Oryctolagus cuniculus: one gene and its partner. The protein of the gene in region 1 purifies or fractionates together with the protein of each later gene. This does not show direct contact. Links are inferred from orthologs where the notes say so. Each region holds a gene or a part of one and is shown on either strand. Other genes may lie near its edges.

Evidence for each region. The genes of interacting proteins can lie anywhere in the genome.
Region 2: the proteins of MAP2K2 (region 1) and KSR1 purify together in Homo sapiens (affinity purification with mass spectrometry; 4 studies listed by BioGRID and IntAct, with this or other methods). This does not show direct contact. The link is inferred for Oryctolagus cuniculus from reciprocal best matches to the Homo sapiens genes MAP2K2 and KSR1.

The regions. Positions count from the first base shown.
Region 1 is NC_091447.1:59,238,996-59,243,988, forward strand, and holds the start of MAP2K2 (dual specificity mitogen-activated protein kinase kinase 2), read left to right. Parts: upstream 1-1,890; 5' UTR 1,891-2,069; coding exon 2,070-2,161; intron 2,162-4,993. UniProt on the Homo sapiens protein: Catalyzes the concomitant phosphorylation of a threonine and a tyrosine residue in a Thr-Glu-Tyr sequence located in MAP kinases. Activates the ERK1 and ERK2 MAP kinases.
Region 2 is NC_091448.1:43,194,557-43,199,688, forward strand, and holds the start of KSR1 (kinase suppressor of Ras 1), read left to right. Parts: upstream 1-1,625; 5' UTR 1,626-1,939; coding exon 1,940-2,170; intron 2,171-5,132.

The sequences.
Region 1 (4,993 bases):
CTCTCTCTCTCTGTCGCTCTGCCTGTCCAATAGATGGAAACAAGAGGACGTCTCCCGGCACGCGGCGACAGCCCGGGGGGGGGGGGGGGCCGGGGAAGGCGGGGCAGCACCAGGAGCCGGGGCGGGGGGTGGCCCTGCGTTTGCCACCGGCGTCCAGCGACGGCAGCTTGGACAGCTCTGTTTCTCTGGAAGACCAAGGCCCGGGACACAGATCTTCCTTCTGCCGGGTCGCTCCCCAAATGCCTACAACAGCCAGGGCTGGGCCGGGCGGAAGCCAGGAGCCGGGAGCTCCGTCCGGGGCGCCCAGGTGGGTGCAGGGGCCGTCCGTGTGGCCCCCTCAGGGGTCAGCAGGGAGCCTGCATACAGCCCAGGCCCTCGGGAAGGCCACGCGGGAGCTGGCCTGGGGCAGAGGTTACGGCTTTGCATCTTTGAGTCTCGTTTTGCAATTATGTATACGCATCTGGACCTGTTTAGACCCTGTTTAGACAGTGTATCTCCGGCGGCCAGCCCACCCGCACCCGCCGCCGCGGGTTCAGGTCCCGGCCTGCTCCCGGCTCAGGCACCGGAGGTCCGCCCAAGTGCACGGTCTCTGCCACCCCCGCGGGAGGCCCGGGTGGAGCAGCCCCCTGGGGAGTGACCCAGCGATGGAAGACCTCCCTCTCCCCCTCCCCCTCCCCTCTCTCTACCTCTCAAGTAACTAAAAATCTTAAAACAAACCAACCAACCAACCAACGCTCCGCCCATCCCCGCGGCTGCTGCCCGAGCCGACTCGGAACTGCAGGGCAGCGCAGCTGGCACTCGGCGTCCACTCCCGCAAGAGGCCACAGCAAGAGCCCCGGGAGGCGCTCGCACACCGGCCACCCCAGCGGTCAGCACACCCAGCCTGCAATGCAAGGCCACAGTGACTCCTGGTGTGCAGGGGCTGTGCGGAGGCCGGGCAGAGGCCACTAGGGGTGAGGGTCGGGGTGGGGGGCAGAGCCCACAGGAACCACTGGGGGGGCACACAGACCCCGCAGGGCCCACTCCCGGGGGAACACAGACCCCGCAGGGCCCACTCCCGGGGGTCGGACCCTGCGATGCCCACTCCCGGGGGACACACAAACCCCGCAGAGCCCACTCCCGGGGGAACACAGACCCCGCAGGGCCCACTCCCGGGGGTCGGACCCTGCGATGCCCACTCCCGGGGGACACACAAACCCCGCAGAGCCCACTCCCGGGGGGGACACAGACCCCGCAGGGCCCACTCCCGGGGGGGGACAGACCCCGCAGGGCCCACTCCCGGGGCTCGGACCCTGCGATGCCCACTCCCGGGGGTCGGACCCTGCGATGCCCACTCCCGGGCGGACTGCGGGCCCGGCGGCGGGTGGGGGTCGCGGGGCTGGGGAGGGGGCGTCTCCCGGGGCAGAGCAGAGGTTCCGGAGGCCCGGGGCTGCCGGTGCTGAGACCGGAAGTCCCTCCGGGCAGCGGCCCCGCAGCTCCCCCCGACGGCCGCGCGCAGTGGCTCCCACGATCCGCCCCCACGTGACCTCTCTCCGCCGGACGGGGTGGCCGAGAGCTGGGCTGAATGAGGGGCTCCCCGGGCTCACTCAGCTCCGGCCCGGGACACGCAGCGGGCCGCCCAGGCCCCGGGCCCACCTGTCCACTCTCCTCTGCCCTCGTCACCGCCTCCCGGCGCGTCGCGCCTTCTGCGCATGCGCACTCCCGCGCCCCGGCGCGGAAGCGAGCCACTGCGCACGCGCCGGCCGCCGCCGCCCGGACTCCGCCCCTTTGCCCCGGGGGCGGGGCGCTCGGGCCGGGGCGCGCGCCGCGGCGGGGGCGGGGCCAGGCTCACTCTCGCGAGAGGCCGGCGCGCGATCCCGCGGCTGCGCCCGCCCCTCCGCCGGCCTCCCCGGGCTCCGGCTGCAGCGTCAGCCTGGCTCGGGCCTCGGCGGCGCCTGCCCGCTCGCCCGCCTCGGTGTCGGCCTCCCCCGCCGCCCCCGGTGCCGGGCCGGGTCGCGTCGGCGCCGCCCGCTCCGGCCCGCCCCCCTATGGGCCCCGGCTGAGGCGCCGCCGCCGGCCGCGGAGCCCCGATGCTGGCCCGGAGGAAGCCGGTGCTGCCGGCGCTCACCATCAACCCCGCTGTCGCCGAGGGCCCGTCCCCTACCAGCGAGGGCGCCTCCGAGTGAGTGGGCGGGGGGCGCCGGGCGCAGGGCGGGGGTCCCGGACGGCGGGGGGGGCGCAGGGGCCCCCGAGGGCGGGGGGCGCCGGGGCGCAGGGCGGGGGTCCCGGACGGCGAGGGGCGGGCCCTGCGGGGCAGCGCGCAGTGGTCGGGGCGTAGGGGCCCCCGAGGGCGGGGGGCGCAGGGCGGGGGTCCCGGACGGCGAGGGGCGGGCACTGCGGGGCAGCGCGCAGTGGTGGGGGCGTAGGGACCCCCGAGGGCAGGGGGCGCCGGGGCGCAGGGCGGGGGTCCCGGACGGTGAGGTCCGGGCGAGGGGCGGGCACTGCGGGGCAGCGCGCAGTGGTGGGGGCGTAGGGACCCCCGAAGGCGGGGGTCGCCGGGCGCAGGGCGGGGGTCCCGGACGGTGAGGTCCGGGCGAGGGGCGGGCACTGCGGGGCAGCGCGCAGTGCGAGTCCTTGAGCGCCCCGAGGGCGGGGGTCGCAGCGGGGGCGCTGAGCGGGCGGTGAGGCCGAGGGCAGCCCCCCTGGGAAGCCACGGCGTTGGGGGTCCCTGCGAGGCGGGATGCTTTGGGGAGATGGGTGGGGCCCCTGGGTGACAGGTGGAAAGGTCTTGGGGGACCCCGCGGGGTCGGGATGGGGAAATGGGAGGGGTAGCCCGGACTTGAGGACGGGCTGGGGGGGGGGTCTCCGAGGCCAGGGGCGGGGGAATTTGGGGGTGGGGGTCTGGGGGCCGAGGAGCAGGGGGCAGGCTTGGGGTCTTGGGGAGAGGCCCTGGTGGGTGCCCCGAGGCCGACCTGGCAGGTCCAACCAGAGTGACCCCCTTGCCACAGCCGGGCACAGGGCGGGGGGCCGCGTCGCGTGTCCCCGGAGAACGAGTGGGACGGGCGTGGGCCCCTGCCCTGTGGCCGCCCCCACGCCGGCCGTGGCTGCCCGGGCCCCAGTGCTGGCAGAGCCGCGCGCGGGGCTCGGCGGGGCAGGTGGGGGGCAGCGGCTCCCGCGTGGTCTCCTGCGCCCTGGTCCCCGTCCCTTCCGCCTGGGGTCGTCTTCCGGACGTGGCCGCCGTGGTGGCCGCCTGCCTGCCACGGAACGTGGCCTTGTCGGTGCCCCACGCGGCCTCCTGGCCCCACTGGGACACCTGCTTCCTGGGGCCTGGGGCGGGGGCCTGACGGGAGGGAGGCGTGCGGGTCTCCCGGCCGCGAGCAGGGGTCCCGCGTGGGTGGGGGAGGCGGTGCCTGAGGACCCCCTTTATGCCCGGGGCACCTGCCAAGCCCCGCGCTGGGCGGCCGCAGCCACCGGCGGCACGGGCGCTTGGCGGCTCTTCCAAGTTCGGGAGCGCTCTGGCGTCGCGGGCACGCGGGGCGCAGACACGGGGGTGGGGGAGGCCGCGTCGCTCGCCCCTTGGAAATGATCGGATTTTCGCTGGCTCTGATCAACCGCGCTGTGGCCGAGCCGGGAACTGGTGCTTGGACGCCCGTGCCGAGTCCAGCCCCGGCTTCCCGGGCCCCTGCTCGTCCTGCGCACGCGCACCTGGGGGCAGCAGTGCGGGGTGGTGGGGTGGGGTCCCAGGTCCTGGCCCTGCCGCCCGCGTGGGAGACCCCGTGGAGCTCCGGGCTTTGGCCGGGCTGCTGTGGGCAGCTGTCTCTCTGTCTCTCTGTCTTTCTCTGCCTTTCAAATGAACAAATAAAATTTTTAAAATTACCTTTGCCTGTTTTCCTTTTTTCAAGAGTGGGCCCCAGGAGACGGCGTGGGGGCTTGCGGCCGTTCTCCCCGGGAGCCCCCGGGCCGGCCCTGGGGTGCCCTCGGCTGCAGCGTCCTGCTTCCTGCCCCAGGGCCAGGTTCAAAGGCAAATTCCCTGAGGACCGCGTCCCGGACTCCCTGACAACCCCCTGAGTGACCCCTAACCCACAGTGGCCACGGCTGGCTGCGAGGTTGCCGGGTCTGGGAGGCCAGGCGCGCGGGTTAAGGGTCCGCCTGGCGCAGGACCGGGCCCTCGGGGCGTCCACGCCCGCGTCGGAGGCCTGGATCTGCCCAGGCTCCACGGGCCCTGCTCCTGGGCCCGGTCCCCATTTCCCCCATCCACCCACGCCGTCTGGAGTCCCCCAGGGCTCTCCTAGTGCCCCCCCCACCTGCGCCCAGGGAGAGGCGTTGGGTTCTGGGGTGCGCAAGGGCACGCATGCGCCTTTCCTCGCTAGGTCACTAGGCCAGGGGACCGTCTGCGTCATCCCTCCCCGCTCCCTGGCCGGCCGCGTGCCCGTCCTGGCTGGGGTGGAGTCGGTGTGTGACGCGCGCACTTGTGTTTGAGAGGTAGACAGCAAGCAACACAGACACATACCCCACCCGCTGGCTCACTGCACCAGCCAGGAGCCAGGGACTCCATCCGGGGCTCCCGCGTGGGCGGCAGGGACCGGGGCCACCCGCTGCTTCCCGGGGTGCGCGCGCAGGGACCGGAGCCACCCACTGCCTCCCGGGTTCGCGCACGCAGGGACCGGGGCCACCCACTGCCTCCTGCGGTGCGCGCGCAGGGACAGGGCCACCCGCTGCCTCCCGGGGTGCGCGCACGCAGGGACAGAGCCACCCGCTGCCTCCCAGGTGCGCGCGCAGGGACCGGGGCCACCTGCTGCCTCCCGGGGTGCGCGCGCAGGGACCGGGGCCACCCGCTGCCTCCCGGGGTGCGCGCACGCAGGGACCGGAGCCACCCGCTGCCTCCCGGGGTGCGCGCACGCAGGGACCGGAGCCACCCGCTGCCTCCCGGGTGCGCGCGCAGGGACAGGGCCACCCGCTGCCTCCCGGGGTGCGCGCACGCAGGGACAGAGCCACCCGCTGCCTCCCGGGGCGC
Region 2 (5,132 bases), on another chromosome or scaffold:
GGCAAGGAGACCCCTTGTGTTTCAAAAAATCCCAGAGCGGGGGTTAGTTTGTAAAAGCACATTTTACAGTTATCATAATTTCCTTTCTTCTTTAAAGAACATTTATTTCTTTGAAAGGCAGAGTGATGGGGGAGATATCGCCCAACTGCTTGTTCACTCCCCAAATGGCCACATTGGCAGGGTCTCAGCCAGGAGCTCCATCCTGCCTTTAGACATGATATTTATTTTGAAATGCCAAATGACATTAACAGAAAGTGTAACGTATTTATTTATTTGAAAGGCAGAGAGAGAGAGAGACAGAGACAGAGAGATCTTCTTTCTCCTCCTTCATTCCTCAAATGCCTGCAGCAGCAGGCACAGGGCCAGGCTGAAAGCCAGAAGTCTGGAGCTCCAGCCCGGTCTCCCATGTTGGGGGCAGGGACCCAAGCTCTTGAGCCATGGCTGCTGCCTCCCAGGAAGCTGGAACTGGAAACACAGGCAGGATTCGAACCCAGGCACTCCAATATGGGACTCGTCTCAAGTGAGGTCAACCGCTGTGCTGAGCGCCTGCCCCTATAGAAGGTGTAATACAAACTGCCACCCAGTACCATTGTCTATTCTCAAGTGAGAATGTGCGTGGATCCCACCTCCTGTCCAGTCCTCACCCTGAAGAAAGCTCCATCTGTCTACACACACACACACACACACACACACACGCACACGCGCGCGCCTAAGCCTCAGCTGGGCTGAGAGATAAGAGCCACCGGCACAGGAGGACCGGACCCAAAGAGCGGCCACGCCGCCTGCCCAGTGTCACGGGCCCTCGCCGTGTGCCGCGCTCCGGCCTGGATTTTGCTCTGTGGGGATAAATGAGAGACTTGTGCCACCAAGGAGCGACAGAAAACTCCACATCCTTCCTGCTGGCGAGTCTCGCGGGTCCGGAGCTGTCGCACCTGGATGGGCGTCTGGTGTCTCGGGTTCACAGAAAGCACACGGGGTGACCCGAGGCGGTGGAGGTGGGCGCAAGCGCCACGCGCGCCGCCGCTCGACCCTCAGGACCGCTACCCCCGGCGCCAGCCATCAGCCCGCAGCCATGCGCGCCCGGACGCCCTCGCGTTCTGAGAAAGGGCCGCCGCCCAGAGTCGCATCCCGCGCCTGGCGAACCCCGACACTTATTTTGTGGGCCGCCTCCAGGAGAAAGTCCTTTCATTTTTCTCCACGCCTGAGAACTCCCAGTTCTCAGACAATTAAAAGTGCGGTGTGAGCCATTACAGAAGTACTTCAAGCCCCTTCCCACTAGATGGCGGCCCCTCAACCCACATAAACGTTCCGGAACCTCCCCTGTCCGGGAGTTCCAGGGCTCGGCTGCCGCTGAGGAACGGTGGGATGCACACCCTCCTCTCGTCCAGCGGGATACGGACCCCCTATCCGGCCTGATTCGGGAGCCGCCGGCAGCTCCTAGGCCGAGGCGGGCGGCGGGGGCGGGTGGGAAGAGGGGGCGCCCAGACCCTCAGCGCCGGGGCCAGCAGCGGCGCGGAGCAGCCCCTCCCGGGAGGATAGCCGGGGTGGGCTCTCCCGCGGCACCCCCGCTCGCCGGGAGCCCAGAGCCCGCCGCCCGGCGCGGACAGCTGGCCCCGAGGGCGCGGGCCGCGCGGCAGGTGCGCGGCGCGGACTACAAGTCCCAGCATGCCCCGCCGCCCTGACCCGGCCCCCGCCGCCGCTTAAAGGCTCCGGGAGCCGCAGCCGTCGGGTCGCCGCGGCTTTCGCTTTGCTGCGGCTGCTGGGCGGGCGGGAGGAGCGGACTCGGCGGCCGGCTCTCCCGGCGTCCGGGCTCTGGCCACGCCGAGGGGCGCGCCTCGTCCAGCCCTCCGGGCTCGGGGACTCCCTGCCGAGGCGCCCGCGCCCCCGACCCCCGCCCCGGGCTCCTCGCCTCGGCTCCCAGCGGCCCCGATGCCGAGGCATGGATAGAGCGGCGCTGAGCGCGGCGGCGATGGGCGAGGAGAAGGAGGGCGGCGGCGGGAGCGCCGCGGCGGCCGCGGATGGGGGCGCCGGGGCCGCGGCCAGCCGGGCGCTGCAGCAGTGCGGGCAGCTCCAGAAGCTCATCGACATCTCCATCGGCAGCCTGCGCGGGCTGCGCACCAAGTGTGCCGTGTCTAACGACCTCACCCAGCAGGAGATCCGGACCCTGGAGGTAAGGGGCCGCGGCGCCGGGGCGGGGGGGGGGGGGCGGTGGCCTCTACGCCTCCCTCCCGGCCCGAAGATTCTCCTGCTGGAGTTGCGTCCTTGAGCCGGGTCTCCCCGGTGGAGGCGGCCCCTCGAGGACCCAGGACCAGCCTCGCCAAGGGCGACGTTTTGGGGGCGGGGGTTGCTTAGTGTGAACCGAGATGGAGGCTCGAGGCGCCGTACGCGTGGACATCCCCGGCCTCGCCTCCACCCCATTTCTAGTTTGCGGGGCCGCAGGGCTCACGCCGGTGCAGCCACGCGCCGGGCTTTGCCTCGTGTGCTAGGCGGATCCCCCTGAAGTGTGAGCGCCGGCCCGCCCTCCTCTCCCTTCCCCTCACGTCCCAGACTCCGTCCTGTCCCTTCCTTTCTCCCCTCCTCCAGGTCTCTGTCTGCTGCCTTTCAGAACGCGTTTGCTGAGGCTGCATTTGTGCTGTTCAGTCGTTGGGTGCTTTCCTTTGGCGTTGTCACCGCGGTTCCCTGCTCCAAACGCTCGGAATTCGCGGACTCCTCCCTCCCCGCAGACACTGGATTTGGGCTTAGAACGGATTATGCTGGGGAAGGCAGCCTTGGGTGGGAAGATGACACGGTTGGAGGGGTTCCGCTGGAGGAGATGGCCTGGGGTGTAGAGGAGAAAGATACTCGGCCCCCCCACTTGCAAATGATGGCTGGGAAGTGCCCCATTAAAAGGATTTGGAGGAACCAGCGAGAGGGGTGGTTGGGTTCTCACAAGGTGGAGCTCTCGGCAACCCCGTACACAATAGAGGGAAACCAATGCAGTCCCAATTTTGTCCAGAGACTGGGAGACCTGCGAAATTCTGGGGGCCAGTTAATAGCCGCCGTGTCTTGAAGGGGGGCTTCTCAGCACCCTGCATTGCTACATCTGTCCCTCTGCAGGTCTGGGAAGTTTCATTTTATTAGTGCCCCCCCTCCTGCTAATTACCTCTGCCAGCTGTCACAGGGCCAACCGTGATTGCAGGAATTGTTACAGAGCCGATCCTCCCTCTGTGCCACCACAAGCCCGAATCCTTGTTTGATCCAGAATGCTCGGGGATGACTCTCCCTCACTCCTATTTTTCTTAAAAGCAACCAAGCTGGGGACATTGGAAGACGGCAGTCAGTGCTGGCTGTTAATTTTTTTTTTTTTTTAATTACAGTTGCTATAGCAGCGCTGACCAGGGCACACCGACAGAACCCCTACCACCGGCCTTTCTGTATGCACACTGCCGTTTTCCACAACTGATTTCTCGAACACAGCTGAGTGTGTTTGCCCAGCAAACTCGAGTTTTTCAGCCCACACAATAGGGGGCCTGTGTGGCTTAGTTCCGGGAGGAGGGGTCGCTGTGTTGTTGGGCTCAGAGAAGATTCTCTGGTGTGGCCTCTGCCGATCCTGCCCAGTGTTTGTGCAGTGCTCCTGGCTCCCAGAGTGCGTAGGCAGGAGAACCGCTCGCTGTCCTTGCTCTGGAAGTGGCCTGCGGTCCTCCAGGTCGCCTGAGCTCCAGAGCCGCTGGTTTTGAGGAAGGTGTGAAGTCTGTGCTATTGGGATGGTGTCGCTGGCAGCTGGGGCCCCGTCGCAGGAAGACCCACAGGTGACTGGCAGGGTGGGTGCACTCAGCCCCGGCTCTCTGTGCAAGCCCCTGGGCTGTGCCTTTGGTGCCCTGGCTCCCCGAAAAGGCAGGACCTGGGTCGCTTCTTAGCATGGGAATTTAGACCCCCGAGTCGGCCCCAGCTAGCTGGGGAGAGCCCTGGGGGCCTCCGCCTCCTCATCTGCAGACTGCAGCTTGGAGTGAGTCTGGGGGCTCTCCCAGCTCTGAGGTCTGTGGTTCAGTGAAGGAGATGCGGGTCGGACGTTTGTGATTGCAATTATTCGTGCTCCTGGTTTAGAACGGTTCTAAAATCCCGACTTCATGAACTGGTGAGAGCTTCGAGAGGGGAGCTGTGTGGTGAACAGAAAGCCCCCGGCTTTGAAATTGGGTCTGGTTCCGTGTGTATGGCTGTGGGCAAGTCCCGTGACCACTTATCTCTGGCCTCCCCTTCCGCCGGCGCGCACACCTGCAGCGTGTTCCGAGGCCGTGGGTCCACACGGTGACCTCTGGAAGGTCCTGCCTTGGAACTTGCCCTTGTGAGGGTCCACTGGCCTTCAGGGCACCTTTAGGGGAAGGAGCTGCTACCGCTGGCGCCGGCGCCCAGAGGTGGGTGACAAGGGCCAGAAAGCAACCCCAGCGTGCGGGGTTGGAGTGGCTCAGCCACAGCAGCCCGGCCAGCCAGCGGCTGTGTCTCCTGGGCTCTTTCCTGTTCTGTGGGCTTCTCTGGCTCGCTGGGCTGGACTCCCCAGACACTGCACTTGCAACATTAGATTCCCAGCCTGGAAAGAAGGGTCTGACTCGAGGGCTGGGCTTACACAACCGCATCAGGCTTCTGCCAGCAGCTTAGGAACCCCGGCCCATGCCGGCCCTGGTTGAGTGCGCCCTCAGTGTGAGAAGTGGCACGTGAGATGTCCCTGCCGGGGCAGGCTGTGTTGCCCACCAGCCCAGGCTATGACGGTGTCGGGGGTCAGCGTGCCTGCGTGCCCTGTGGTGGCTTTTCTCTGTAGCAGTCTGGCTTGGCTTGAAGAGCGTGGAAGGAGGGTTTCCTGTTTGCCTCCTGCCTGCCTGGCGGTGTGCTGGACTCTTCTCCATGTCCTGGCATTGCCTGGTGAGCCACCTGCCTTCACCACCCCCACGTTCCTCTCTTTGTGGGAGGGCAGGGAAAGGACCTGGAACCAGAGTTGGGGTTTGTGAACAGAAGTGGTGCCCTGGCTCCCCAGCTCCTCCCGCAGTCTGAGAGCCCCACCGAGGCCCCAGGGGAGGCCCCCCTCCTCCAGGTGTGCTCGCAGGGCCCCACGCCAGCCGCCTCCTTCCTCCCCACTGGGTGCCCTGGTGCCCGCCTGTGCT